Coturnix japonica: one gene and its partners. The protein of the gene in region 1 interacts with the protein of each later gene in a biochemical or structural test. Links are inferred from orthologs where the notes say so. Each region holds a gene or a part of one and is shown in the gene's direction. Other genes may lie near its edges.

Region 1 (4,108 bases):
CGCCGCCCCGGAGCAGTTCCGCCGCTCGCAGCGGCCCAGGCACTCTCGGTACAGCGGCTCCCGGTCACCCTGAGAGCCCCGGGCCGGGCCCGGTGCCGCCGCCGCTCCCAGTAACAGGAACAGAGCGGCCCGAGCCGCCCCGCCGCTCCCCATGGCCGCACGGCGCGGCTTCCGGCCCGCCCCGGAAGTGGAGGCGGCGCAAAGCATCACGGGATATAGCGCCCCCTGCGGGCACCACGTGAAAACAGCGATCCTGCAGGAGTGGAGCATCATGGGAAATCCACATTCACACTTGGGCGCTCACCGCAAAGGCTCACGGGATATATCCCTCCGTGCGGCTGGGGGGCTTCGGAGGACTCGGCAAGGCCTAGGCCCGGTTGGGCGGCCGTGCCCGTTGTATATATCCCCATATATCCCCTATATACCCCTATATAACCCTATATACCCCTATATAACCCCATATATCCCTATATACCCCTATATAACCCCATATATCCCTATATATCCCCTATATACCCCTATATATCCCTATATATCCCTTATATACCCATATATATCCATATATATCCCTATATATCCATATATATCCCTATATATCTCCTATATATCCCCTCTATATCCCCTATATATCCCTATATATCCCCTATATATCCCCTATATCCCCTATATATCCCTATATATTCCCTATATATCCATATATATCCCTATATATTCCTATATAACCCTATATATTCCTATATAACCCTATATAACCCTATATATCCCCTATATATCCCTATATATTCCCTGTATATCCCTATATATTCCCTATATATCCTTGTATATCCCCTATATATCCCTATATATCCCTATATACCCCTATATATCCCCTATATATCCCTATATATCCCTATATCCCCTATATACCCCTGTATATCCCCTATATATCCCTATGTATCCCTATATATCCCCTACATATACCCCTATATATCCCTATATACCCCTATATATCCCTATACATCCCCTATATATCCCTATATATCCAGTGTCCCCAACCCCTATGACAGCGTGAAGTGACCGACACCGGGACGGGGTGACCGGGAGCACCGGAACCGCCCCGTGTCCATTACGGTGCGACCCCCGGTACCGGATACACCCGGTTCGGTGCTGCCTTTACCCCGCTGCTCCCGGTACCGGCGGTTCCGGTGCTGCCCGGGACATCGCGACCCCCCAGTGTCCGAGTTCGGTGCCACCGGGATCCCCCCGTTACACCCGGTGTTACCGGGATCAACCGGGATTCCCCCGTTACACCCGGTTGTACCGGGACGGACCCGCCGCTTCCATCCCTCGTGAACGCGCTTTGTGGGCGGGAGCGCGCGGCGCGTCCCCGCGAGGTGGAGCCCGGGAGCGCGGCGGAACCGCACCGCAAACTTTCCCGGAGCGTCCGGTGCGGGGCCATGGGCCGCAGCCCGTCCTGAAGCGCCATGACCGACCCCCGGGGCCGCCCGTTGTGCCCCGTGCTCTTATCGCTGCTCCTCGCCTCGTTCTGCCCCGCAGCCGCCACCGAAGGTGGGTCCGCCCCGACGGGCAGCGGGGTGGGGGTGAACGGCGGGATCGGAACGGAGTTGTGCGGGGAGAACCGGGATCCGGGGCGGGGAGTGGAAGGTTTGGGGGTAACGGGGATAACGGGGGTAACGGGGGGTGCTGGGGATCTGCGGTTCAAAGCGACCCCCCTCCCCCACAGACCCCCCGGCCCGGTTGCCCCCCCCCCCCCCCCGCCGTGGGCAGCCCCTCCCTCTCGCCGTTCCCACGCGGGATTGGGCTGAGCCGGGAGACGCGGGGCCGGGGGCGGCCGCTCCGCTCGGTGCCCCCCCCCCGGTGCCCCCCGGTGCCTCCACTCGAGGGTTTGGAGACCCTAAAAAAAGCTCCGTCCCCACCGGCTGCGTGGGCTGGACCCGCTTTACCGGGGTCCCGCAATCACGAGAGGTGCCACGAGAGCCCCCACCGCCGGGACAGCCCCCCCTGCCCCCCATTCCCCGGTTTATGGAGCCGGTTTCGGGGCGCGGATGGGCCCCGGGGCGGCGGCGGTGCCGCTCGGTGCGGGTGGGCGGGGGGTGCGTCCCCGCCGGTCGCTCCCATCCACATTCTCGAGGTGCCGCGCCCTGCCCGGCCCGACGGGAGCAGCCGGGGCACGATCCAGCGCCGCGGGGCCTCGGTCGGAGCGAGGACGGGGACGGGGCGGGCATCGGCCCCACCGCCACCCCCCGGTGTTTGTGGGGCTCCCAGGGCAATAAATGGGGTCTCGGTGGGTCCCTGCTGCTCCCATCGCCCTGGAACCCGAGCTCCGAGTGCTGGCCCGTCCCCACCGCTGACCCCAGCCCCAACCCCGGGGGTGCGATGGAACTGAGACCGAACCGGGATCCGTCCCCCCCGCCTTCCCTGGGCCCTGGCAGCACCGTGTCCATCCCGTGCCCGCACGCAGCAGGTGGAGCAGACCTTGAGCTTTGGCCGTTCCCTGCGGGGTGGGGGCACCGGGCTGTCCCCACCTCCCCGTCCAACACGGGCAGCTCCGGGGGCACAGTTTTCCCTTGTGGACGTTCGGGGGCCGCTGGGGTCGTTGGGGGCGGCTACAGCCCGGTTCGTCCCACGGCCTCGTGGCAGCTGCCGGCACCGGGGGCCGTCACTCAGACCCCGCACAGCCCCCCCCGCACCGAGGGCAGAGCGCCCCCAACCCCCGCCGCTGTGTCCCCATAAGTTGTGGCGATGGTGGAGCCGAGGGGTCGGTGTTGGGGGCGACCAAACAAGAGAGGGGACAACGGGGACAACACGGTGACCCCGCTCAAGGAGAAGCACGGGGGGCACCGTGGGGGTCTCGAGGGACGCGGTGGGACCCCAGCCCACATCGGGGCCGTGGGGGGGGGTCTGTCCCGCGTGGTTGTGGGGCGCCGGGGGCCGCGGGCGGTGCCGGGGCTGGGCCGTTCTGCGTCACCCCGCTCGCTCCCCAAACACGCCCGACCTGAAAAGGCGGTTCCAGGCGGGACGTTGCGGCCGGACCGGGCCGCCCCAGCGCCGTGACTCACCGCAGCACGACCCGCCCCTCCCGGCCCCACCGCCACGAACGGGGACAGGAATGAGGGGGGGTCGGAGCGGGGCGGCCATGGGACGCGGCCATTCGGGGCCGCTCAACAATCGCGTGTTGTCTCGGTTCTCCCCCCACCCCCCGGCGGCGTGGGGGCACTGCGGGATACACCGCATTCCTGCTCCGCGGCCCCCGCCCCATTCGGGGCCCCCCGGTGCGGGCTGTGGGGACCCACCCAGTGCTGGACGTGGGCGCTCAATGGGGGTCGTGGCTGCTGCCGACGTGGGGGCAGCGGTGCCGCGGTGGGAGCTGGGGGTCCGCATCCCCGTGTATCCCCGTGTATCCCCGTGTATCCCCTTGTATCGCCGTGTATCCCCCTGTATCCCCGTGTATCTCTATGTATCTCCATGTATCTCCATGTATCTCCATGTATCTCCATGTATCTCCATGTATCTCTATGTATCTCCATGTATCTCTATGTATCCCCATGTATCCCCATGTATCCTCGTGTATCCCCTTGTATCCCGCTGTATCCCCGTGTGTCCCGCTTCCCCCGTCCCCACATCACACCCGGGGCCGCTCAGGAAGCCCATCGGAAACCCATCGGAAGTTTTTGGGAGCCGATAACCGTCAGCAGCCGCAGCGTTTCCTGCGGCCGGATCCCGCGGGGGCGATGGCCCGGCCGGCCTCGGCTGACCCCTCCCACCCCCCAACCCCCCCCCAATACATCCCGATCCATCCCCGCAGTGTGCACCGGTACCGACATGAAGCTGCTGCAGCCCTCCAGCCCCGAGAGCCACTACGAGACCCTGCGGCACCTGTACCAGGGCTGCCAAGTGGTGCAGGGTAACCTGGAGCTCACCTACCTGCCCCCCGGCGCCGACACCACCTTCCTCCAGGTGCGAGGATTCGGGGATACGTGGATGGGAAGGGATGGGGGGGGACATGGGGGCACCGTGGGGGTCTCACCGCCGTGCCCACCCCCCCCTGCAGGACATCAAGGAGGTGCAGGGCTACGTGCTGATCGCTGAGAACCAAGTGAGCGCCGTG
Region 2 (3,500 bases), on another chromosome or scaffold:
AGGATTGTTCTTGATGATCAGTACACCAGCTCCACGGGGACCAAGTTTCCAGTTAAATGGTCTGCCCCAGAGGTTTTCTCCTACAGTAACTACAGCACCAAATCAGACGTTTGGTCATTCGGTAAGAAACTCTCATCAGAATGGAAAAAATGAAACAAAAAAAAAGAAGAAATATCAGCTAAATATCAGCTCAGAAGGACCTGGGGGCTTAGTGCCAAAGTAAAATGTTCTAAACACTACATCTTCAGTGTTCCAGTGGTGTTTTGCTTGAATAGTAGCTTGGAAAATCAAGCCTAAATCATCCAGGTGAAAGAAAGAAAGGAACAGTAAACCACCTACACACTCTGAAGCACTCCAGATATTGCCAATATAATAATGTATTGTACCCATACAATGCTATTTTATGATGCTACTGAATGACTAACCAAGAACATGTAGGAGAGTCAGAAGGTTTCTAAGAAAAAGTACATACAGACATTTAAGCATTTCATCTCTCTGACCAGCAGTCCAAAGCACTGAAGCTTCATTCAAAACCTCTGCCTCTGAATTTGTTTTTGCTGACTCTGTTTGCTTTTTGTTGATCTGAAAAATATTATTTCAGTGCTGACATTTTCTCACCTAATTTCTCACTCTCCAGTGCATTGTTTTATGATTTGCATCTGTTCTTCGATCTCCTTTCTGGATCCTCATAGATAAGAAAGCTGCTGTATGTTTTTTTCCCCACAGCCATTGCCACTGGAGATAACAAAGACTATTCCCTGGCCGGTTGATCTGGCACACTGATGTGCCTGGCCTACATCCAGCTAACATGCAAATAGTGGCAGTGCAGAATGAATCGGTACAGTGTGTAGAGCACAGCACACAGTCAATGGGGTGCCACTCAGCTCCGTGCCTCGCAGTAAATAATGCAGGGTTATACCCTTGGCTAGTCTGTGCTTGAAAGTTCTGTGCTTCCCTCTGCCCTTCCTAGGAGCTGTGTGTGGTTGATGCTGGGTGAAGTGATTCATCTGTCTCTCTTCTTTCTTTACACTGTGAACAGTTTAACACCAGAAGACCAAAGAAAGCAAGACTAGTAATAACACCAGAACTTGCATTCACTTTATCTGCAGTCCTTTTCTGATCTGATGGCCAACTCTGACCAATGCCCACTGCCATTTTATCTTGAATATCATCTACTACACTGGATAAGCACAAGTTTCTGTACTGCTCTGAACAGTAATCATAGGAAATCATGAGTGTTTAGGAAAAGCAAAAATACGTGCTGCAATCCTTTGAAATTCCACCATGATTGCACCGTACAGCTGTGTTAGGCCATGATTTTTCTGATGCATGCTTCAAATCCGAGCAAGAATGCTTTTTCAAGTAACAGACACCAATGCTGCGCTTCAAAGATGAGTGAGAAAGGGGCTGTGGGCCTGCTGAGAATGTGATTTGTGTCTTGTGTAATTGTTCCCATTTGTTTGCTTTAGGAGTGCTGATGTGGGAGGTCTTCAGTGAAGGCAAAATGCCTTATGAGAATCGCACCAATGGAGAAGTGGTAGAAGAAATCAATGCAGGGTTTCGGCTCTACAAGCCCAAGTTGGCCTCCAAGGCTATTTATGAGGTGATGAGCCACTGCTGGAGCATGGTTAGTATTTCACTGGGAAAGCACTGCTTCCCAACAAGAGCTGTCTTCCCTTCAGCATTTAGGAGAGTTTACACCTCACATGCTAATACAAGATACAGTGCTGGAGATGAAGCACTCTGAGGCTATCACTGTGTTAGCAAGATGAGTTAAACATTCAGGTCTTTACCTTTTATTTAAGCTGCTGTCTCTATAGAATGCATTGACATCACCGAGAAGTCTATACAGTGCACATAACTCAAGTTAGTTCAGCATTTTGCTTCCTAAGAAAGCTACGAATCAGTTGTGCTCAGTTTTAACGTGGATGGTAAAAATGACAGCCTGCCCCTTACAAAGTACTCAGTGTCCTCTGGGGAAAATTCACATTACTAGAGAAGGAACACGGTGCAGAAGGAACGTGATTCTTCTGTTGGCATTCTCTCTATAAGAATGCATTTTGTTTCTGTTAAAACTCACCTTTCTCCACAAGGTTTTCCTTTCTAACCTCACCATACCTCCCACACTGACATTAATATTCTCTCTCTCTCTCTCCTTCACTCAGAGGAAAGAAGACCGTCCGTCCTTTTCTCTTCTGCTTTATCAGCTGAGTGAAATCTCTGAGTTTGATCTGTAATTATGGCACTGGCTGCTACATGAAGCTAAGAGAGTCCTGAGCGGGCAGATGGCTGGATTTTCCCCACACAAAGCAATAACATGAATCCTTCCACCACAGAAACTTACTGCGTGCCTGAGGAGAAGCAAAGGGCAGAGGCCTGTACTTCCAGAAAGACGAGATATTCCCAGGTCTTCCAGAGCACAAGCAGACATGGGGTTTGGCTTGGCCAAGACTGTTGTTTGCATCTTCCAAGCAGAACCAGCAAATGAGCAGAGATTCCTGCAATATGTAACACAGCGAGTGTGCTTCTCGTGAAGATTCAGCCTCAAAACTACGAGATTTGGCATTGATGTTCCAGTTCTGCAAACTCCCAAAGGTCTCCCCTGGGGAAAAACCTTTTCTTTGACTATGAAGGAACACTTAGACATTTCCACGGCTCTCTAATTCAGAGTGGGCTGGACCTGAAAGCTCTGAACAAAAATAAGCCTGGGATACAGAGGAACAGGCTGGATTTAGTGACTGCATTTCTGATGCTGACATTTTAAGGTGGTTTTGTTCTCCTTTTACACAACTTCCTATGAAAGTGTGGCTTAACAGGCACAGGATTCTGATACCCCAAAAGAGGTGTCTGCAGTTCGTGAGTAGGAAACAGGAAAAGTAATGTGTTAAAGAGTCTTGAAATCCTCTCAAATTTCTACAGTGAGGGGGAAAATGGGACTCAGATGCACATCTAGGTGTTCTGGGGGGGGGAACTCAATCTGAAAGTTTCTGTTGATTTTTTTCTTCAATCTTTCTAAATCAGAAGATAAATAAATAACCTCCACCAGCTTCCTCTACATGAGCATGGAGGACACGGCAGGGCAGAGCGCTGTGTGCCTCCAGTCCAGGAGCAGACAGGATCCTGTGCCAGGGAGAGACAGAGGAACCTATTCCCTAACAAGTGTGCCATGAGGAGGAAACAGAGTGTGTGATCAGTGCACCAGTGCTAATGAGAAGTTTTACTTCAAACAGAAACTGAATCATCACAAGCAAAGACTCTTCCATCTCTTCTGAGAACAAACTGGTCAATCTTCTAGGGAATGATTAAAGAAAGAAAGTCTTATGCAAACAGACTGCCTCGGTGCTGCAGGAGCTCCACAGCATGTGGTGAGAGCACAAGAAGGTGTGAGCAATATCCATCTGTTGGTACTTCAGTTAATATCCTCCGCTGCAGGACAGACACTGATTTGACATAACTGACCTCCAAACCAGAAATGTGGGTGTTCGTGTCCTGCAGCATCT
Region 3 (3,500 bases), on another chromosome or scaffold:
TCCCTACTCCTGCAAAGCCCTCTCTTGCCTCTGACATGCAAGGTATGTGGAGTTTGTGTTGATGCTGAAACAAAATAACTTAAGACTGAGCAATATTAAGTTATGATTGATGTATTCCCAACAGAAACCATGTAATACATAAAATGTTTCCCTTTCAGTTTTTCAGTGTTATAGCATTTGTTTTGCCTAGGTTGGTTGGTAAGTCTGCTTTAAGCACAAATAAAACTAGAACAAGTCATTTGCCCCAACCTAATTTATTCTTAGTCATCTTGTCTATAGAGGAACACAAATTGATCAATACGGCAAAAACAATTATAGGACTTGGAATGCTATTAATCTCACTTCACCAGAGGAAACAACATTCAATATTGAATCTTGATGTGATTTTAAAATATGTGAGAAATTCCATGTAGGCTGATGTGCTGCATGCCCTGGGATAACAATGTTCCTAAGTTCTGTAAAAAGCAATTTATTTGGAAAAAGGGGGAAAAAAAAAGAAGCAAATGTGAGAATCATGTTTGCTTTTCTAAGTATGTGCATATTTGCTTAATCTTCCTTAGCTGTGCTAACTCCAAGTTGTTTTGTATCCTTGAATGTGTCAGTAATTGCTTGGCATCAAACAGAATGAATTCGAGGCATAAACTATAAAAGTTTCTTACGAATGACCTGAGGATTTGTGACATGCTTCTTGGATATTTTAAATGCTATTTTCTATCTTAGACTTTCTATAAATCAGTGTTAAGCAACAGCCAACTCTAGACAGATGTTTCTAAAAAAAAATAAAACATCTCCCCCTGGTGGGAATGTGGATACTTTTCAGAGTAATAAAAGCAATGAAAACTGACATAAAATTGAATTTCCATTGAATAAAGTGGGCATGAGTAAGGACGATGGTGTTCTTGTCTTTTAGTATCTGTGAATTAAAATACTTCTGTGCCCAGGGATGGACATGAAACAGAAAGGGATCTATCTGAGTGTATGGTTCACCTGATCTTTTCTTCCCTGAGAGTCAGGGAAAGGCTGACTGCTACCACAGATGTCATAATGCACCTTTCCAAAGAGTCCCAGGTTTGCAAGACACAGGATTTGTCTTGCTTTTTGAGAGGCTGGGGTGGGGGGAGTTAGTAAGGGTGGAGAAAACTCTCCTTCATACAGCGACTGTTTATCACACTTCCTTGAGTTCTCTGTTGTTTCAAAAGCAGCAGGGCTGTGGCTGCTTGAGGATTTAGGAGGCAGAACCAGGAGCAGGGACAACTTTCCGAGTTACTTTTCCAGAGGCAAAATACAGTTGATACAAATTCTGTTCAGTTTTTCTGGTAACACGTAGTGCACTTTTGCTATCTAAAGGATTTGCTTTCTCTACCCTGTCCTACAGAAGTGTACGAGGTTCCTGAAGAAGAGGTAAGACTTTCCTGTAGTTTGATTCTTGTACCCTGTCTGTGAGTAACATAAGTGATTATAGAGTGTATATGCATATAAAAATCAGTCTTTGAAAGGGGAAAAATGGAACAAATCTGTTTTCGCTTAGTGCTTTGACACTTCCTTCACAGAAAAGTTGGCAAAGCAATTCAAGATATCTGCCAAATAGAATAACTGGGAAGGGGTTGAAATTTCTAGTCCTATGTGATAGCAGTTGGGTCTGGGAAGCAGGAGCTTAGGAGAATGCTCTCCAGAGAAGCACAGTCACAGGCAAAGGAGTAATGACAGTTCTGACACAGTAATTTTCTCTTTGCTTGCTGGCTCTGACATGACAGATGACCACACCAGTGTGTTCAGGGCTTCCAAATCTATTGGTGGTGGTTTCCTACCATCCTCAAGCACATCACCAGGCAGAATTCTACCACAAGCAATACAAAAATAAGATATTGCTATGATAATATAAATATGATCACAGAAATGTTTTTATGAAATCAAAATGACCAAAAAATTCTGTGTCTTTTCTCTTAAAAGGAAGAACTTTCACCACCACCCGTATCCAGGTAATCTCTTGCTATGAGTGTTTGTATACTATTTAAAGTTTGTTGGAAAGTGTATTTTCTCGTCTGGATGTAATATGCTTAATAATTATCTTTAAAATACCTACGCAAAGATTGTTATCCATTTCTATGTTAATTTCAATTACCCTAACATAATGTACTAAAAGATCTACTACTTACATAAGGGTAATTTTTAGGACTTTTAAGGGGCAGAGCAGGAGTAGGGTGGGTCATCTTTTCTATTCATCACTGTTAAATGTGATTTTCTTTCCTCAATTCACATTTGACTATAAGGTTCACTAAGCCACTTCCTGCTACACGTGCTCAGAATGCAGAGCACTCGCACATGCACAGCATGACTAGAGAGTCACCTAAGCTGGACACTTCCAGGTAAGTTGGCAGCAGTTTATATTAATAACAAATAAGAGTGGAGACAAAATTTTCTAATCTCTACTTATTGTGTAGCATTTGGACAATTCGTAGGAGTCAGGATTTGCAAATAGCTAGAGATGCTGGAGTACGTTGAGAATAAAAGTTCATCCTTAACTCCTGTACTGAAGCCAGTTTGCGAGATAGGCGCTATTTTCTTGAATCAATTAAGAATTAATATCAATCAAGAATTAATACAGTGGTAAAACATCTCTGCAAATTACATTGAAGTCCTATTATTGGCTTCTGTGCCCTCGCAAACAAGACATTTTTGTAGTGGATGGGGTGTAGGATTGCTTGTATAAACAGAGTTGGTAAATCTGTTATTAAATTCCAAGTCCCTAGAGGAAAATTAATGTTTAAAAAAAAAAAAAAAAAAAAAAAAGCATGCAGTCTCTTTCATTCCTGTGTATCCACAAATATAGGAAGCTGCTTGGAAACCAAGACATTGTCTCATTCCTAGGTCATCACTCTACCAAGTAGGTCATATGCCCCAGGAAGAGCAGGTGGAATTCACAACACTGTTACAGTGTTTAGGTCCCCTGTGCACAGCTGCAGGGGAACCAAAGTTCAGAACTAGAAGCTCTTCTAAATGGGTTCCTCTATATGGTAGAGCATCACAACCACTGTGGTGGAGTATACTTGTAACTAAAACCATTTTCTTCAGGACTCTCTAGATCTTGCAATGGATATCTAAGTCAAACATTCAAACAAAATAAGTAAAAATCCTACTTATCTTGACTGACTTTCTGTTTTTTTCCAGAAATATTTTGCCTCTCCCCAGAAATCGCCTTCATCCAAAAACAGTGAGTAATGTGCCCATTTAAAGGGTGTGCAAAACTCTCTTTTGATTTTTGTATCCTTTCAGTTTTATTATCTGAACTAAATAACAGAAACTGATAAGTTTGGATGCTAGATTGACCTAATATTGTAATTTTGGCTACTAATCTTTGGGACAGAAGAGGTATATTGGACACCTGTATTGGTCTAAGAAAAAATTTCAAACGGCTTCAAGTACAAATACCATCCTGTACTTAAAAAAAAAAGGTGTGGGGGATGGGGGGGGGGGAGAAAAATTGCTTAAACTACAAGAAC
Region 4 (4,094 bases), on another chromosome or scaffold:
AGAACTGCTCTACCCAGATTAAATCTATTGGAGGAGTGCTGCAGGAAATTCAGAGCACAGATGCCCTGGTCTCCATGCTTATATGCGCATGCTGTTGCCCCTTTAAGTCAGTTAAAAAAGCGTGTTTCGTCGAAGCAATCATAAATATTTACACTGCAGCTCTATGTTTAGGAATATCATTTTAACAACAAGACTGTGCTGAAATCCTTTTATTTAAAAACCCGTAGGAGAAAGCAAACAGCATTAAACAGAAGCCCACGGAGCCAGTGGGCTGCAAGACAACGTGGAATTACATATCCGATTGAAATATGGCAACGTGGAAACCAAGCCCGTAAGAGATGGCTGTTGAGACTGTAATTTCTTTACCAGCACAGCAGGGCATGAACGCGCTGCCATTCTGTGAGCCCAGGGACGCAGACAGCGTCTGCTCTGACACCGGGCACGAGCCCAGCAGAGTCCCACGGGTACTCGCAGCGCTGCAGGACCTGGAATGGGATCCTGCCTTCAGAAGGCAAGATAGGAAGGTTCGTTTCGGCAGATAAAAGGAGGTTTGTCTGCAGGGCGGTGGAAGCGCGAGTAGGAGTTTGTTTTAGTGGCCTGGGGAGAAATTCACTTAATTCTTTTGGTAACACAAGGCTTTGAAAACCTGAATGTTTAGATGCCTCCTGAGAACTTTGGAGAGGCGTGCAAGTGTCAACGTGCTGCTATTTGTCAGCTCTTTTATTATGGGGGGGGAGGGAAAAAAAGAAGAAGAAGAAAAAAAGAAGATAATGAGAGAAGTATCAGCACGGTAACGGAGTAACCGGCAATGGAGTACGGGCGGCAGTGCGGTCACACAGCGGCTGCAGGCGATGCGCTGTTCTCCTCCCGCAGCACACGGCGGTGCAGCTATAACGGGGACACACAAAGCACGGGCTCAGCACGCCCCGATCGCGCCGTCCCTTCCCGCCGTGCCCCCGCGCCACCTGCCGCCTCTCCTGGCTTTTACTCCCCATACTTTCTTCTATTTTCCCTCCCAAAGGCAGCTCAGCCTCAGGGCGCACCATGGCCGCCCCTTGGCCGCACACCATGGCGGCTCGGGCCGCTCCTACCCCGCACTTTCCTCCCCCACGCGGTGCGGCCGCTCCCCCTCCTGCCCCGCCCAGCTCCACGCACGCGCTCATAGGGACGAGGCTGGGGAGCGGCGCACATGCGCGGCCCGTCCCACCGCCTCCGTCCTTCCCCCCTCCCGGCTGGCGGGCGCACGGGGGCGGGCACAGCGCGGGGCGGCCGAGCCGCTCCCCTGGCGGCCGGCGGGGCCGAGGCAGCCGCGCCGGGGCCCTGCGGAGCCGCCGTGAGCGCGCAGCCCCCGCCCAGCCGGGTATTGTTCGCGGCCCGTCTCCGCCGGGACAGTTTTGCCCTCGTCCCGGCTCCGCTCCCCGCCGGGGCGGGGTGGGCCGGGGCCCCTTTGTCGCCACCTCCCCGGCGTGCGGCGGCGGCGGCGGCTGCGGGCGGGAGGGCGAGCGGCGGACGGGAGGGGGGGCGAGGCTCAACATGATGGCGGCCGAGGCCGGAGCTGAGGACGGCGGTTCGGTTACCTCGGCCGGGACGGCGGCCGCCGCCGAGCCGGGGCACTGCCGAGGCAAAGCACCGGGGCCGCAGGGCCCCTTCGCGCCCGGCTCCAGCTCCGGCTCCGGCGGGGACAGCCCGGGCGCCGGCCCGGCTCTGTGCTCGGCGCTCGGGCTGCTGGCGCTCGGCTCCACGGGAGCCCCGCCACCGCCCAGCGAGCCGGGCTCCGCCGCCTTCCCCCCGCTGCCGCCGCCGCCGCCGCCCCTACCCCCGGCCGGAGGGCTGGCGGCCGTGGACGAGGGCGACTCGCTGGACGGGCCGGAGTACGAGGAGGAGGAGGTGGCCATCCCGCTGAACGCGCCCCCCACCAACCAGTAAGTACCGCGGCCCCCCACCCCCCTCGGTTCCGCTCCCGGAGCGCAGGAAGAGCGCGGCTCCGCGCAGCGCCGCGTGTCCGTGCGGCGGGGGGAGGCCCGGGCGGCTCCCGGACAGACTGGGACTGCGGCGCTAACTTTGTAACAGGCGGAGACCTCCCCGCTGTACAAAGCGCTGCTCTCCTCGTGTCATCCCTTTGCATTCCGTTGTTTATACCTTAAAAAAAAGCAACAAGAACAGCACAAAGAACACCCCAGCCTTTTTGTTATTTCATACAGGAATATCACGAAGGTTGCACGCACGTGTTTGCCTTCGTGGAGTAGGGAGGGTGAGGTTTGCTCACTCTGGAACGCGGGTTGGAAATGAGTAGAATTCTTCTTCTACTTTAAAATAGTGGGCGGGCTGTGCTTACAGAATAGCGCCTGACTTTGCTGCTCAGCCAGTTTAAAGCGAGGCTGATGTTGGTTTGTCTGTATGGAGGCAGGAGGCAGAGGTGAAAATCCTGCAAACCTCCTGTTGGATTTCATTCTGTTATCTCTGTTTTAAGGTGAATGGATGTCCTGTGGTGCTGGTAACAGAATTTCGCACTCTGAGCAGAGCAGTTCTCAATTTATATTGTGTGAAAAATGTAGGATCAGATAATGCTGTGTGTAGTTTGTGTAATTAATGAGCACTCCATGCACAACCTTTGGGCTGAAGCATAGGAAGTCTGCAGGTTTGTGTGTAGCACCTCAAGCCCCGTTTCAGTACAGAAAACAGTTCTCTGGGAGGGTGCCTGGCTATTTAAAAAATGGAGTTGCTTCAGAAGCTCTATTGGTTGCACCAAGTAGTGTCTAGAAATGTGTTGTTCCTGAAGTTTCCTGAGGATAGTAGATAATGTAAGGTTTCAAGGTACTGAAACAGTTGGGCTAGATGTTCATAGCGGGCTTTTCCAACCTTAAGGAGTCTGATTGTGTGAAACCATGAGGGTTGGTAGATAGTTTCAAGGCGTGGATCAGAAGGACGACCTGAAAGCCCATCTGAGTTTGGGTTCTTTGTTACATTCTTTCCCAGTACCACTCTTAAGAGACTTCTGCACCATTCGTGTATTTCCATGATTTCAGGAATCATTAAAGTCATCAGGAGGACATAAAAATGTACCGATATGAATCCCTTTTAAATTCATGTCTCTCGCTTTGACAGTCTTCCCTGTAATCTCCTGATTTCTTGACTTTCTGTAGAAGTTTGCTAACTTAAGGCAGTGTTTGAACAGTGTTTGACTGGCGTCACTAATGAGCTGGAAATATGATCAGGCAGTTCTGACAAAGGATCAGGAGGGAAATAGAGGCACACGAATGTGAAATTACTTCTTCAGGGTTGTCAAATCACTGGAGCACACAATTCTGTACTTCTGGTTTTCTCTCTGAAAATAGATCAGACTGCTTTTTCCATTAGATCCAGTTATGTTAGTCAGAGAGAGAGAGTCCTTTTTGGAAGTATCTTTAGGAAATGGGGTGACAGATTGTAAATGACCACCTGTTCGGTCCTAAATATGCAATATGGACATATGCTAATAGGAGTGGGATTTGCTGTCAGAGCATTGTCCTGTGACTGAAGTGCTGGAGTGATGTCTGTCTTTAAGTGCTTTGACAAGTGTGTGCTGAGGGGAAGGCTGTGCAGGCCCTAATTTGCTCTGGTTAACAGTACCTTATTCAGACAAAAGGGAGACAGGAGTCTTTGCAGAACCAGGGCATAACTGTGAGCTGAGCTTTCTTCATAAAAGAGAATCCTTCACAACAAATCAAGTATTGTGGAAAATGTACACGTACCTCCCTACTCTGTGTTCTTAACAGCTTTTCCTTTGCCACATAACCCTCGGAGTGTGACTTTTCAATAAAAAATTGATTGAATAGAACCGTGTTTCTCTCTCATTCAGCTCCTTTATGGTGTCAGTTTTCATCGTTCTTATTTAAGTCATTCAGATTGGCCATATGCTGATAGTAAATCGCATCCTCTCAGTCCTGCTGTTTTATTTTGGAAGGGCCCTTTCTTTGTAGATGTACCATCTGCTTCTATGGAATTAAACTCCTGATTTATTATCAAAACAAAGATCAATATTATCTATAATCTTATACAGGGAAAGGTTTGCTATAATTCTTTAGGAATAATGATTGAATTTATAGTTAAGATTA
Region 5 (4,191 bases), on another chromosome or scaffold:
AATGTGTATATAAATAAACTGAACGTTAACATTATTTGGAACAATGTGTAAAGAGTTGCCACTAATTTACTGTCAAGTCAGTGCGTCGTAAGCCAGTCTCATTGTTCATGTATATAAGGCATTGTGATTGGTCATGTATATACATACCTGCATGTACACGTGCTCTCTATTAAATGTATATATTTAACATGGATATATATTTAATTGGATTTGTCTGTGTTCAGAGCAGAAATGGTTGAACTCTTTTAATACCTGCATGCCTTTTCCCCTCTGCTGCTTCTTCTGCTTCCTCTTGCTGAAGTCTGTTTCAATTCACCTAACTTTGGACCAAAGCATCTGAGGAGTATTTGCTAAATATAGTTACCTTAACACATTCTATAATTCCTGTGTTTCATCATTTCTGTCTTGGAGGGGCTTAGATTCTTCTCACTGCTTTGTCTAAGCCTTTGTATTTTGAATGAGGATGAAGTATCTTGTATGAAGAAACGCTTTCTTTTCCTTGTGATATTGCATCAGGAACTTATGGGGTGTCAGAAAGGGTTTTATGGCATTGCCAACACCTCTGACACTGTGCATAGTTTTAAAGGAATAAGCAGTATTTCACTTAAAGTATATATGAAGCACTGGATTATCAGGAGAGTAATAATTTCTAGTAAACCTTATGGATGTTTCTTTTTTCTACAAGAATTACGTGCTGATCTATATGGTAAAGATTTCCCTAACTGTGCAGGTATTTGGCAGATTTCCTCAGTGGAGATGTGCACTTTGGATGACGCTTGGAATGCTGTACTTCACCTGCCCCTTCATGCTGCCCAAGGATAATTTCTACATACCTTCCACTGGGTTTTGATACTTACATCACCTATCAGGATCTGTGAGGCCACCTCATTTTTAGATGAATGCATTTTTCAGTTGAATATAATATAGCCTCAGGTGTTACTAATTTTGAAAGAATCAGAACAGCTTTTGAGGCAGCTCTCTTGGTGACCTTCTCATGCAATCAAAGGCAGGTTAAAATACCACGTCATCGTTTCTTCTGCGTGAGCTCAGTCAGTCCTTAATCACCTTCATGCTTTCTTCTCCTTTTTATTAAAACAAAATTATTATTATTATTATTATTATTTTTCTTCAAATGTCAGGATCAAAAATTTATCAGAATGAGACCAAATTCAGTGGCATAAGGCTGCTGGGTGTTTTTACCACTTTCAGCAGTAGTTAGCCCTAGTGACAGCCGTTCAGTATTCTTTTTATTTGTAGAGTGTATATTTGGTTTTAGATAGCAGAAAGACTTTTTCTCATGATTTTTCCTTTTTTTTTTTTTTTTTTTTTTTCTATTGAGAAAGCAACAACAGCAGCAGCAAGCAGGCATGAGATTAACATCTAGTAAGGTTTTTTTTTTTTTCAGGAAAGTAGGTGGAGTCAGGCTCTACTGATGTCTTACCTTGATTCACAGCAGAGATAAGAGTGCTGCTGGGCTATTTACAGGCACAACTGATGAAAGAAGGTTTGCATTTTCTTGTGAATATAAGAGGAGAACCAGATATGATTCTTTCAACCTGTAAGTAAACTGGCCCACATATTTTTCTCTTGAAGTATTGTTTTGTGCAGCAGTTGTGTGTACACAGCAAACGAGCTACTTAATTATTGCCATAATTATACCCAATAGTTATCTCTCATGTGGCTTGGTTGCAGATTGAGTGGTCTGTATTTGGACTCCTTTTCTTGATTTTCGAAATTACTACATAAATTTGAATCCATTATACGATGGATTCAGTAAGACATCTATCTTTTCTGATGGAGATGGATGGAAACGTGGAGTTATTCCCATATGTTGTCCTTAGTGGCACATAGAAATTAGATATGAATTAAAAGTTTGGTAGAACTTGAGCCTGCTTTCCTCTGGTGCAGAATTAGTACACAGAAGAACACAGCTGAAGTTTGTACATTTGAAAAGCTGAAAGCTTATCTTTTGAAGTATTTTTTAGCAGCAAACTGTACTGGAATTTTCTACTAGATTAGCTGTCAGTGTAGTTGATCAGGAGGCATACGTATATTGAGCATTGTGGTAAAGACTTGGTTTTGTTGGGTGAAGCTGAATTTGAGTTTTTCTCAGTATAGCTTTGTATACAGTTAATGTATCACTACTGCAAGCATGGGAACTCTGCAGAACATTCAGTACAAATACACATCCTAGAAATGGGCTATGGCACTTTCAAAATCAGTAGTGCTTTGAGGTGCAGTGAATCAGAAAAGTGATCAAAGTGTACCAGATCAATAGACAAAATAATAAAATGCTGATTAATAAGAACTCATCTCTGACACGTTGCTTTCATCTAATCCTTTGATACTATTTCCCAAAGACTACAAAATTGAGTGAGGTATAACTGAAGATAGGGGGAAGATTGCATGTATTTGTGGCTGATTCACACACTGTCACACAATTTTATCAACCCAAGGTGTTCTGCTGAATGTTCTAGGGCTCTTTTAGCAAAACTACCTGCAGCAATGGACCATCCCAAAGGACATGTATCTTTTTACCGTGTCTTTTCTGGTTTTTGTTTGTTTGTTTTCTTTGTGAGTATTTGTCAAGTGAGCTTCAACATCTCATTCCTAGGATTTATGCTTCTTCTGCAGGACTCATTTGCCACTATATCTTCTCACTTCTCAAAACCAGGCACGCTAAAAAAATTTGCTTTTGGGCATCATAGTCCTGTAAGTGATCATAATTAGTGCTGGTGTTGGGTTTTACACTTGTTAACTTGTCATCAGGAAAATGTGACTTTTAAAAAACCTCTTTCCAGGAAGAAAAAATACTAGCAATTAAATGGGCTATGCTTTTTTTGTTGTTGTTGTTCCCATGTTAAATTGAATATGGAATTGGCTGACCTCTGAGATTGCAAGCATTTGTTGGAAATTGGAAACAGAAAATGCTCTACACAGCAAAAGGAGGAGGTGTTGGCAAATCCTGGATGCAGCAGCCTAAATTCTCATCTTGAGTTGAACCTACATTTCAAGTTCTCCACCCAACTGATTTGTTAGAGATCCTTACTTCCTAAGGATCAAAGCCAAACGTATTTTTGTAGTTTATGTTTTGACAGAGCTCAAGGGAATGTGGGCTGAAAGGTGCAGAGACACTGTGGGTGCTGGAGAATTTTCTGCTTTCACTGATACCATCACTGCTGGGTTTTTAAATAATGAACTCTTGAGTGTGGTCAGGGGATCAAGGCCTAATTAATATCTATGAGACTAAAAATCTTTGAATCCAGTGTTTTGTTTAAGAGAAGGTCCTTAATTCTAAACAGGGAAATCAGAATTCTTCCACTGATTCCTGTTTGTACGTTTTAGGGTATAGCAGAAAAGAGATTCAAGAAGAAATGCTGAAAATCCATTTTCAATTTCTTTCTTGCTTTTTGTGTGTGTATTAAAATACAGGGAGGTGTCTGTTTAATTTAATTTTTTTATTTTGATTTAAAGCTTTTGAGTAGAAGACGGTAAAGACAAAGGAAGAGCCTCAGTCATCGGGAGGGTGTGTGCAGCCATAAAAGCCTCAGGCAGGAAGTACAGGTTTCCTGTAGCTGTGCAATGAGCATCACTAGGGCATCTGGAGGTAGTGCCCTACATGTAGATATCTACTTGTGTTGCTAGCAAAGATCAAATTGTTCAGTGTGTCAAAGCTTTCACCATTTGCAGTGTTGGCCAAATATGTCAAAAAAGGAGGTTGGTGTAGAACAGACGTGGTCTAACCTATGCATTGACTTCCAGCTTTGGCTCTGTGTTGTCAGCTTTACAATCTTACTAGAACATCAATTTCATATTTATTTCAGAATCAAACAAATCTAATGAGAAATGATGTATCTAATCAGACCACATGCAGTGTCAGAAACAGATAAGTTTTCAAATGTCTTCTATTTCCTTTTGCACCTCACTTGAATCGTTCATAAACAATTACCTTTCTGGAGTTTTTTTCGCTGTTCTTTTTCTTTCTTTTTTTTTTTTTTTTTTTTTTTTTTTTTTTTTTTCCCAGGCTTAGAAAAGCAATATATAAAAAACAAATATTTCCCAGCTGACTTCTAGGAAAGGATTGTTTGTTCCAAGCTTGATCACACTGAAGACACTAGCTAACGCAGTTCTGCTTCCCAGCAATGTTAGAGACTGTGTTCAAAGTTAAGCTGCTGCAGTTTTAAGCAACTG
Region 6 (3,500 bases), on another chromosome or scaffold:
CTCAGGTCTGTCATTCAGGGTTACTGGATTCTTGACAGAAGTAGATGCTGAGGTTAAAGATGGAAATGCAACGAACTGGGAAGGATTATTTATCTTTCTCTAAGAACTTCTCCCCAGTCACCCAAAACCTTTTCACTTATTTTTAATGTATCACAACCTCTCATACCTTAAGCCACAGAGATCTTTATTCTACCCTTACATCTTCACAATAATTCAAATGAGAAAGTTACCCTTTACCTGGTGTTCCTAGTGTGCAGCTTGTGGCTAGTTTTGTTACTGGAAATGCAAAACAACAGCTGTTGATAATTAGAACTTTTTTAAACTTAGGTATCCAAGTCCACAAATGGGATCTGGATCAGCCCCTACTATGTCTGCTGCCGAAGAAAACGTGGAATACGTTCGGACACTCTATGACTTTCCTGGCAATGATGCTGAGGATCTCCCATTTAAAAAGGGTGAAATACTGGTAATTGTAGAGAAGCCAGAAGAACAGTGGTGGAGTGCCAGAAACAAGGATGGTCGGATTGGGATGATTCCTGTTCCTTATGTAGAAAAGCTAGTCAGATCTTCTGTCGGGAAACATGGGAACAGAAATTCCAACAGTTATGGTATTCCAGAACCTGCCCATGCTTATGCTCAGCCTCAGACCACAAGTCCCCTTCCCACAGTATCCAGTACACCCGGAGCAGTGATCAATCCTCTGCCATCCACGCAGAATGGACCAGTCTATGCCAAAGCTATCCAAAAGAGAGTACCCTGTGCTTATGACAAGACTGCACTGGCATTAGAGGTGAGTTTTCCCCTTTGTCTTACAGCTTTCCAATGATTTTGAAAAATAAACTAAATATTGTTAGCGACAGAGCTGGTGTGGATGACTTCATGTGGAGTCTGTTTATCTGTGTCAAAGGACTGGCAAGTTCCATTATGTTCTGAAGAAAGATGTAGAAAAATTGCTTCATCTGTACCACTTCCTTTGAGAAAAGTGACTAAGCTAATTCAGAACGTAGGCTTAATGCACTGTTGTCTTGCCTATGGAACAGTGAGATGTGCTACAAGAGCAGTAGAATACATACATCCTTCTGTGGAAATACAAGGGATGACTTTGCTTCTCCATTTAACCTTGGAGAAGGGATATTTAACTGATCATTCCAAGCTGAAAACTGAAACAGAAAGGTAAGGATTGCTGATAAACAGCTGATTTTTCTGATTCTCAGCTGTAACTTTTTGGGCATTTGTGTGCTGGAGGGGATGGACACGGTACTAAATTATAGGATTAAAGGCCACAGTGTAGCTTCTAAACCTGCACTGAGTTTAGTAAGTTCCTGTGCTTGCCAAAGTGCTTTGTATTTTCTTTTTAGGGACGTCTCAAAGCCTTTGACAGCTTTATTCTTTAAATGGTAAAGAATTCCTGTTAACAATTATAATTGGCATAAATGATGGAATGGAAGTTCTTAAAAGCATACCTAGCATTGAGACTTACTTCTACACTTAGTTATATAAGGAGCTTGTTAACTCATCCTTCAGAAGTGTCTCACCTGGAAACTGTGCTATTGCTTACTGTCCTCAGAAATGAAATTAGAATCTGGCAAAGTACCTCAAGAAACAAATGTGGGGAAACAAGCAAGGGAAGGAATGACATCTTAGCAAGCAGAACAGTGATTTAAATAATAGTTTTGAACTTTTCCTGTTGCCTTTTTCAGTTTATAAATGAAGCTGCTTCCAAAGCTGCTGCTTTTCACTAATATTCAAAAGGTTTTGTTTGTCACTTTTGGCTATTCATAAAAGTTTCTCCAAACTGCCCTCTTACACAATCTCTACAGGTGGTTACTGGCAGAGGGTTAAAAATTAAACGTATCACTGTTTTCCTTGAGTCTTACCAAAGCCGGCAGCCTGTCATTGGTGAACAGTGTGTGAAAATTAGCGCAGGAAGAAAAGTAAATTCTCTGCCAACTGCACTGTACAGAAGATTCCTGCCTAAACTATTCATGCTTCTGAAGAGAATAAGGCAAGCAGTTGATTTTATGTTAACAGTGTGTCATAAAACAACTTTAGGGAACTTACTTTGCTGCAGGATAGCAGAACTGCTTGGGAGGACGGCTCTCACTAATGAATTTACTCTTATTTTGCTATTTACTGACCTAGTTAATTCTATCCTGTAACTGCCCTGATATACTGGTAACATGCATTCTCTGGCCAACATGCAGGTTGAAACTGTCATTAGAGCTTTTCCATCCATGCGCAGGGAAAGTGAGCAACTTCATTTCAAAGCCATGCTTTTTGTCACATGTACTATTTCTAAAGAATGCTCCAGATTCTTGACATAATCTTCCTTGTGTTTGCTTAACACCTGTTGCTGGCCCAACCTTCTCTGGACTCCACAAGTTCCTTAATAATCCAAACTACTGGAGGTCACATTGTTGAAAATGACAGGGTTCACTTAGACTAGAAGTTCTGTAAGAACACAGACAGTTACCAACAGGAGGGAAAGAACAGCTTAGGGAAATATTTGAGGGAAGAAAGTTAGCGGTGTTCTTTGAAAATAATATATTGCAATATTCAGCAGTTCATATATTGCAGTAGTCACAGTCCAGCTTGTATGTATAAAAACACCTTGGTACAGTTGTACTGATTTTGTAGTCTCATCTAAACTGATACAGCAGTCTGAAAACAGAATATCTGCTTGCTGGCTTTAGCTTTCTGTGGTCAGCACACAGACAATGCTTGAAAGAAGCAGAAAACCATCTGGAGTAAATAAAGCAGTTGCATAGTAATCTGCTCAACTTCTTTTTAAGTGGAGGGATGTCATTTCCCAGGGCTCAGTTTGAAAATGGGACAAGCTCTGCTTCCAAGTCTGATTTTTCTGTTGTATGCAATTGTTTACAAAAGCTGTCAAAATGCAAGACAAGATAAAAGAGCCACAGCCTGCTACAGAGAAGAAACTTGTTTGGTAAGGAAGGTAATTTAAGTTTCTCCCATGGAAAGATACCATTTATAAAGTGAATATTCTACTGAAAATCCTTGTTAAGATGTTTGGTAGGATGTTTAACTTTGAAACAGTTTATAAAATAGGACAGTTTAATGGCAAGCAGGTTTAAGGGTAACTGCCGTGTCCTTTTTTTTTTCCCCATAAGGATACTCATTAGGAAGCATGGCATTTGTACTTATTACTAAACACTGTGCTCAGTTCAGTTACTTACACTGGCAGTGCAGATTTAACACTTTTAAATGAAATATTGAAGTTTGCATTTTCTCACTGTAACCTTCCTGACACGTGTTGTATTTCCAAAGGTACTGGATACACACATAAAAAACCCACACAATAAAAGCAACAGCAAAGATCTGCTTCTCTAGTTGTGTGCTTTCGCCAAGAGGCAATTTCCTTCCTTTTTGGCGCTGCAGAGGAAGGAATATGAAGGACAGGGATACAGTGTTCTGTATTTGTTGGAACTGGGACTCTCTATTACAGGGTTACGTGCTGCTCTTCTTCAACCTCGGTTTTC
Region 7 (3,960 bases), on another chromosome or scaffold:
GGAGGTGAGGAAGGGGGAGCTTCGTTGCCGGGCTCCGCGGGGCCGAGCGGTGGATCCCGGTCCGAGCCGCCCCTTCCCTGCGCTGCCGGGCACCGCTCCGGGCCGGGGCAGCCGGGAGGCGCAGCCGCTGAGCTGCTCGTTGTGCGCGCACCGCGGGCCGCGCTCCGGCCCTTTCGTTCTGGGGGTGGAGAAGGGCGGCCGTCCGCGGGGCCTTTCAAGACACAGCAGCGATACCGGGCACGGCTTCGAGGAGGAAGTCGGGGTGACCACAGCAGCTCCTTCCCCCCGGCACAGCTGCTACCGCAGCTCCTGGAGCGACCGATAGCGGTGTGTGCGGAGCTTCTGCTCTGCCGCACCTGAGGCTGCAAAGAGATCCCGGGTCACGGCGTGTCCCGGACCGACCCGCGGGTTCCTCTCCGTTCTTCGGTCGCAGCACCGGAGGGGCCACGCGCCGCATCAGCTCAGCGCTCAGCGCTCAGTCCGGCCCCGTTTGGCGGCCGCTTTCGTGCTCTCTGTTCTTCCGTGCGCACTTCACACCGACACGGCGGTTTGCGATTGACCAGAAGCCGTCAGAGCAGCACGACCTGCGGCAGGATGTGAGCGCGGCCGGGGGCAGAGAGCGGCGCCGGGAGCGGCGGGACCCGTCCGCGCTTTGCCGACGGCCGCGCCGGAGCGAGAAGGAGAATCCCGCTCAGCCTCGTCCGTCGCAGCCGCAGCCGCAGCCGCAGGTGTCCCGGCGGAGCGAGGCCTCGTCCCTTCGCCCCGCTGCGCGCCGCGCCCAAACGCCGGGATGCTCGGAGCCCGCCCGGCCCTGAGGAGCCCGGCGCGATGGCGGTGAGCGGCAGGTGGGAGGGTGACCCCGGCCGGGTGGCAGCGGGGAGCTCGGGGGTCGGGTCACGCGCGGCTTCGGCTGCGCCTCCCCACGGGCGAGGAGCCCACGTGCGGCGCTGCGCGCGGAAGGGAAGCGGGCCGCGCTGTTCCGCTCGGCGCTGGCGGCTCCGAGCACCGGGCGGCCCGACGGCCCCGGCACGGCCCGGCACGGGGTTGGGTGGCGGCGCTGAGCGCGGCTCCAGGCGGGGCCCTGAGGCCGTCCGTCTCCGGGGCTCCCCGCCCGCCGCGGCCGCAGCTCCCCGGGGGCCGTTCCGGGGCCGAGGCCGTTTCCTCGAAGGGCTCCCGGGGGAGATCGTCCCCGTCCCGGAGTTCCGCGTGTCCCGCCCGGCTCGGAGCCGCCGTGCCGGGGATGGGACGCTGACTCTGCTCTGGGATGGGAGCCCGCAGCCCTGAGCCCGGTGTGGGCACCGTGTGCTGCGCGCGGCTGCGGGTCCCGGCCCCTCTGCTCTCTGCCACGGGTGCAGTCGGGCCGGGCCGAGCCCCGTCCTTCCCTTCCAGCCGGTAGGGCCCGCGGGCGGGGGCTGCGCGCTGCCGGCTCAGTGCGGCGAGGAATGGGGATCCTGCCCAGCCGGGAGAAGCCGCTCAGCGCCGCACCGTTGGCCGCCATCCCCGCGCCGTCCCCGCTGCCCACACAGGCGGCCCCGGGCGGATTCCAGGCGCTGGCTCTCTGCGATTTCCCCTCCGGCGCGGGCGCTGCGCTGAGGATGGGCGAGCAGCTCCGCGTCCTCTCTGAGTAAGTCCGGCACCGAGCGGGCACTGCTGGCGCCCATCCGCGGGGATCCCCCCCCAACAGCAGCAGGACATCGCGTCCCAATTCCCCGCAGGGATGGGGAGTGGTGGCTGGTGGCATCGCAGGTGTCGGGCAAGGAGTGCCTCGTACCCAGCAGCTGCGTGGCCAAAGTGCGGCACAGGTGGGTGTCAGCCCGGGGTGACGTGGGGGCAGAGCCGGGGGGCGCAGCCAGGACACCCCGAACTCGTGGGCCGTCCCAAAGACAAACCGCAGCCGCTGCTCGTCCAGGCCCGTTGCTGGCACTGGAGCTGAGCTCAGGGACGTGACAGCGGCGTCCCAGTCGCACCGCCCCACACCTGCGGCCTGGAGCCGCATCGGCCGCGGGCGTTTCTGCGGGGCCGCCCACCTGTCCCCGTCTCCGTCCCCGGGAGGCGCCGCAGCTCTCAGCGCCGACCCCGCCCGCTGCCGTGCAGGTGGTTGTACGAGGGCGTCAGCCGGGAGAAAGCGGAGGAGCTGCTGCTGCAGCCGGGAAACCACAGCGGAGCCTTCCTGATCCGAGAGAGTCAGACCCGGAGAGGTGAGCGCAGCGCCGGGGGGTTGGGACGGGCAGCCACGGGGTGAGCGGGGTCGGGCACGGGCAGGAGCATCAGCAGCGCCGTGTGACACCGGACGGAGCTGAGCCCCTGGGAGCGCCACGGAACCTACGGTCGGGCCCGGCCCCGCGCGCCCTCCTCAGTGTGAGGAGCTTCCCAGCCCCTCCGCAGCACGTGCCCAGAGCCGGCACAGCGCGGGGCTGCTCTGACACCGCACCTGGCGGCACCGGGCCGCCCCGCGCGGCCGCTTCCTGCTGCTGCTGCTCTGCTCGGTGCTGCGCCTCTTCCTCCACCGAAGGGCCCCCACAAACCGGCTTCCTGCAGCTGCTGGTTAAGCGCAGAGGCTCAGCCTCAGAGCTGAAAGGGGCCCAGCTCGTGGCAGCCCCACAGCAACCACGAGGGGACCCTGCTGGGCACCCCCCCATGCTGGGCCCTTCTTCTGGCAGCTCTGCCGCCCTGCGCTCCCACCGCTGCCGTCCGGGCGCTGTGGCAGCTCGGGGAGGGGAACCCCGGGCAGAGCCCGTCCTGGCAGCCCCGTGTCCCTGCGGCGGGCAGCCGGCAGCGTGCGCTGTGTGGATGGCACCGGGCTCCTCCCGATAAAAGCGAGGCTGCTGGGGCCGGACGCTGAGCGGGGCTGCAGGCAGCTCAGCCCATCCCACATCCCCGCAGGCGGTTTCTCGCTGTCGGTGCGGCGCACTGAGCTCCCCTCGTGGGATGCAGTCACTCATTACCGCATCCACCGCCTGGAGAACGGCTGGCTCTACATCTCACCCCGCCTCACCTTCCCCAGCCTGCACGACCTCGTGGAGCACTACAGCGGTAAGGAGCCGCACTCGGGGCGGCCGCGGGTCGGTGCAGCCCCGCGCTGACGCCGCCGACCCCACGCAGAGAGCGGGGAGGGTTTGTGCTGCACCCTCAGGGCGCCCTGCGCGATGCAGGCGGCGAAGGCAGCGCCAGCCCCGGCCCGGCCCGCAGTGGTGAAGAAGCCGATGCTCAGCTGGGACAAAATCGACAGGTGTGGGCAGCTGTGGGGCTGTGGTCCCGCTGGGGCCGGGAGCCGCTCTCTGCTCTGACCGCCCCCGTCTGCCCCACAGCTCCGTCCTGCTCTCAGAGGCCGCGGCACCGCCAGGGGAGGAGGAGGAGGAGGAGGATTCCTCCCCCATCAGCCAGGGCCTGCGGGAAGCCATCAGCTCCTACCTGCTGCTGACGGACAGTGCGGACCCAGAGATGGGACTTGGGGGGAAGGAGGAAAAGAGCAGCTGAGGGCACACACAGACCTGCCCACAGCCCCTCCACACACACACGCTGGGCCCACGTAGAGGCGCAGCCCTGCAGCTCCAGGACCCACAGCGCATCCACGTGGGGCTCTAAGTAGCACAGAGCCTGGGCCCCTCGGAGCCCCACGGCAGCGGCCCTTACCCCACAGAGATGGGTCTAAAGCTTTAACTCATCCATTAAACAGAACCTTGCAGGACAAACAGCATCACCCGTTTGTAATGTCTTAATTAAGGGTTATTGGGGGGGGGGGGAGAGGAGGAACTTCAGCACCATGACGCTGAGCGCATGGAACAGCCCTGCAGCTCGGGCAGCCTTCACTATAACCAAAGTTCTGTGGGAGGACTGACCCAATTTGAGGACCATGCGGGAGAAGGGACGGCTTAGCAGCACCAACCCCCCAGCAGCAGACATGGCTGACAGCAGCCCCATTGCACCCAGTGGTGGCACAGATCCTGGAAACCTCCTCTC

The links.
Region 2: the proteins of ERBB2 (region 1) and ITK form a complex in vitro, tested with the Homo sapiens proteins (2 studies listed by BioGRID and IntAct, with this or other methods). The link is inferred for Coturnix japonica from reciprocal best matches to the Homo sapiens genes ERBB2 and ITK.
Region 3: the proteins of ERBB2 (region 1) and BLNK form a complex in vitro, tested with the Homo sapiens proteins (2 studies listed by BioGRID and IntAct, with this or other methods). The link is inferred for Coturnix japonica from reciprocal best matches to the Homo sapiens genes ERBB2 and BLNK.
Region 4: the proteins of ERBB2 (region 1) and RASA1 form a complex in vitro, tested with the Homo sapiens proteins (2 studies listed by BioGRID and IntAct, with this or other methods). The link is inferred for Coturnix japonica from reciprocal best matches to the Homo sapiens genes ERBB2 and RASA1.
Region 5: the proteins of ERBB2 (region 1) and TXK form a complex in vitro, tested with the Homo sapiens proteins (2 studies listed by BioGRID and IntAct, with this or other methods). The link is inferred for Coturnix japonica from reciprocal best matches to the Homo sapiens genes ERBB2 and TXK.
Region 6: the proteins of ERBB2 (region 1) and CRKL form a complex in vitro, tested with the Homo sapiens proteins (2 studies listed by BioGRID and IntAct, with this or other methods). The link is inferred for Coturnix japonica from reciprocal best matches to the Homo sapiens genes ERBB2 and CRKL.
Region 7: the proteins of ERBB2 (region 1) and SLA2 form a complex in vitro, tested with the Homo sapiens proteins (2 studies listed by BioGRID and IntAct, with this or other methods). The link is inferred for Coturnix japonica from reciprocal best matches to the Homo sapiens genes ERBB2 and SLA2.

The regions. Positions count from the first base shown.
Region 1 is NC_029542.1:3,920,760-3,924,867, forward strand, and holds the start of ERBB2 (receptor tyrosine-protein kinase erbB-2), read left to right. Parts: upstream 1-1,308; 5' UTR 1,309-1,463; coding exon 1,464-1,548; intron 1,549-3,805; coding exon 3,806-3,957; intron 3,958-4,051; coding exon 4,052-4,108. Other genes in the region: PGAP3 (post-GPI attachment to proteins factor 3), read right to left, coding at 1-273. UniProt on the Homo sapiens protein: Protein tyrosine kinase that is part of several cell surface receptor complexes, but that apparently needs a coreceptor for ligand binding. Essential component of a neuregulin-receptor complex, although neuregulins do not interact with it alone.
Region 2 is NC_029528.1:13,125,875-13,129,374, reverse strand, and holds part of ITK (tyrosine-protein kinase ITK/TSK), read left to right. Parts: intron 1-2; coding exon 3-121; intron 122-1,469; coding exon 1,470-1,627; intron 1,628-2,165; coding exon 2,166-2,237; 3' UTR 2,238-3,500. UniProt on the Homo sapiens protein: Tyrosine kinase that plays an essential role in regulation of the adaptive immune response. Regulates the development, function and differentiation of conventional T-cells and nonconventional NKT-cells.
Region 3 is NC_029521.1:18,334,680-18,338,179, reverse strand, and holds part of BLNK (B-cell linker protein), read left to right. Parts: coding exon 1-42; intron 43-1,375; coding exon 1,376-1,401; intron 1,402-1,950; coding exon 1,951-1,979; intron 1,980-2,270; coding exon 2,271-2,366; intron 2,367-3,168; coding exon 3,169-3,211; intron 3,212-3,500. UniProt on the Homo sapiens protein: Functions as a central linker protein, downstream of the B-cell receptor (BCR), bridging the SYK kinase to a multitude of signaling pathways and regulating biological outcomes of B-cell function and development.
Region 4 is NC_029547.1:54,365,730-54,369,823, reverse strand, and holds the start of RASA1 (ras GTPase-activating protein 1), read left to right. Parts: upstream 1-1,294; 5' UTR 1,295-1,533; coding exon 1,534-1,922; intron 1,923-4,094. UniProt on the Homo sapiens protein: Inhibitory regulator of the Ras-cyclic AMP pathway. Stimulates the GTPase of normal but not oncogenic Ras p21; this stimulation may be further increased in the presence of NCK1.
Region 5 is NC_029519.1:60,026,559-60,030,749, forward strand, and holds the start of TXK (tyrosine-protein kinase TXK), read left to right. Parts: upstream 1-1,391; 5' UTR 1,392-1,494; coding exon 1,495-1,558; intron 1,559-4,191. UniProt on the Homo sapiens protein: Non-receptor tyrosine kinase that plays a redundant role with ITK in regulation of the adaptive immune response. Regulates the development, function and differentiation of conventional T-cells and nonconventional NKT-cells.
Region 6 is NC_029530.1:7,298,309-7,301,808, reverse strand, and holds part of CRKL (crk-like protein), read left to right. Parts: intron 1-327; coding exon 328-790; intron 791-3,500. UniProt on the Homo sapiens protein: May mediate the transduction of intracellular signals.
Region 7 is NC_029535.1:772,419-776,378, forward strand, and holds SLA2 (src-like-adapter 2), read left to right. Parts: upstream 1-1,160; 5' UTR 1,161-1,442; coding exon 1,443-1,624; intron 1,625-1,715; coding exon 1,716-1,802; intron 1,803-2,094; coding exon 2,095-2,198; intron 2,199-2,883; coding exon 2,884-3,033; intron 3,034-3,102; coding exon 3,103-3,229; intron 3,230-3,308; coding exon 3,309-3,477; 3' UTR 3,478-3,697; downstream 3,698-3,960. UniProt on the Homo sapiens protein: Adapter protein, which negatively regulates T-cell receptor (TCR) signaling. Inhibits T-cell antigen-receptor induced activation of nuclear factor of activated T-cells.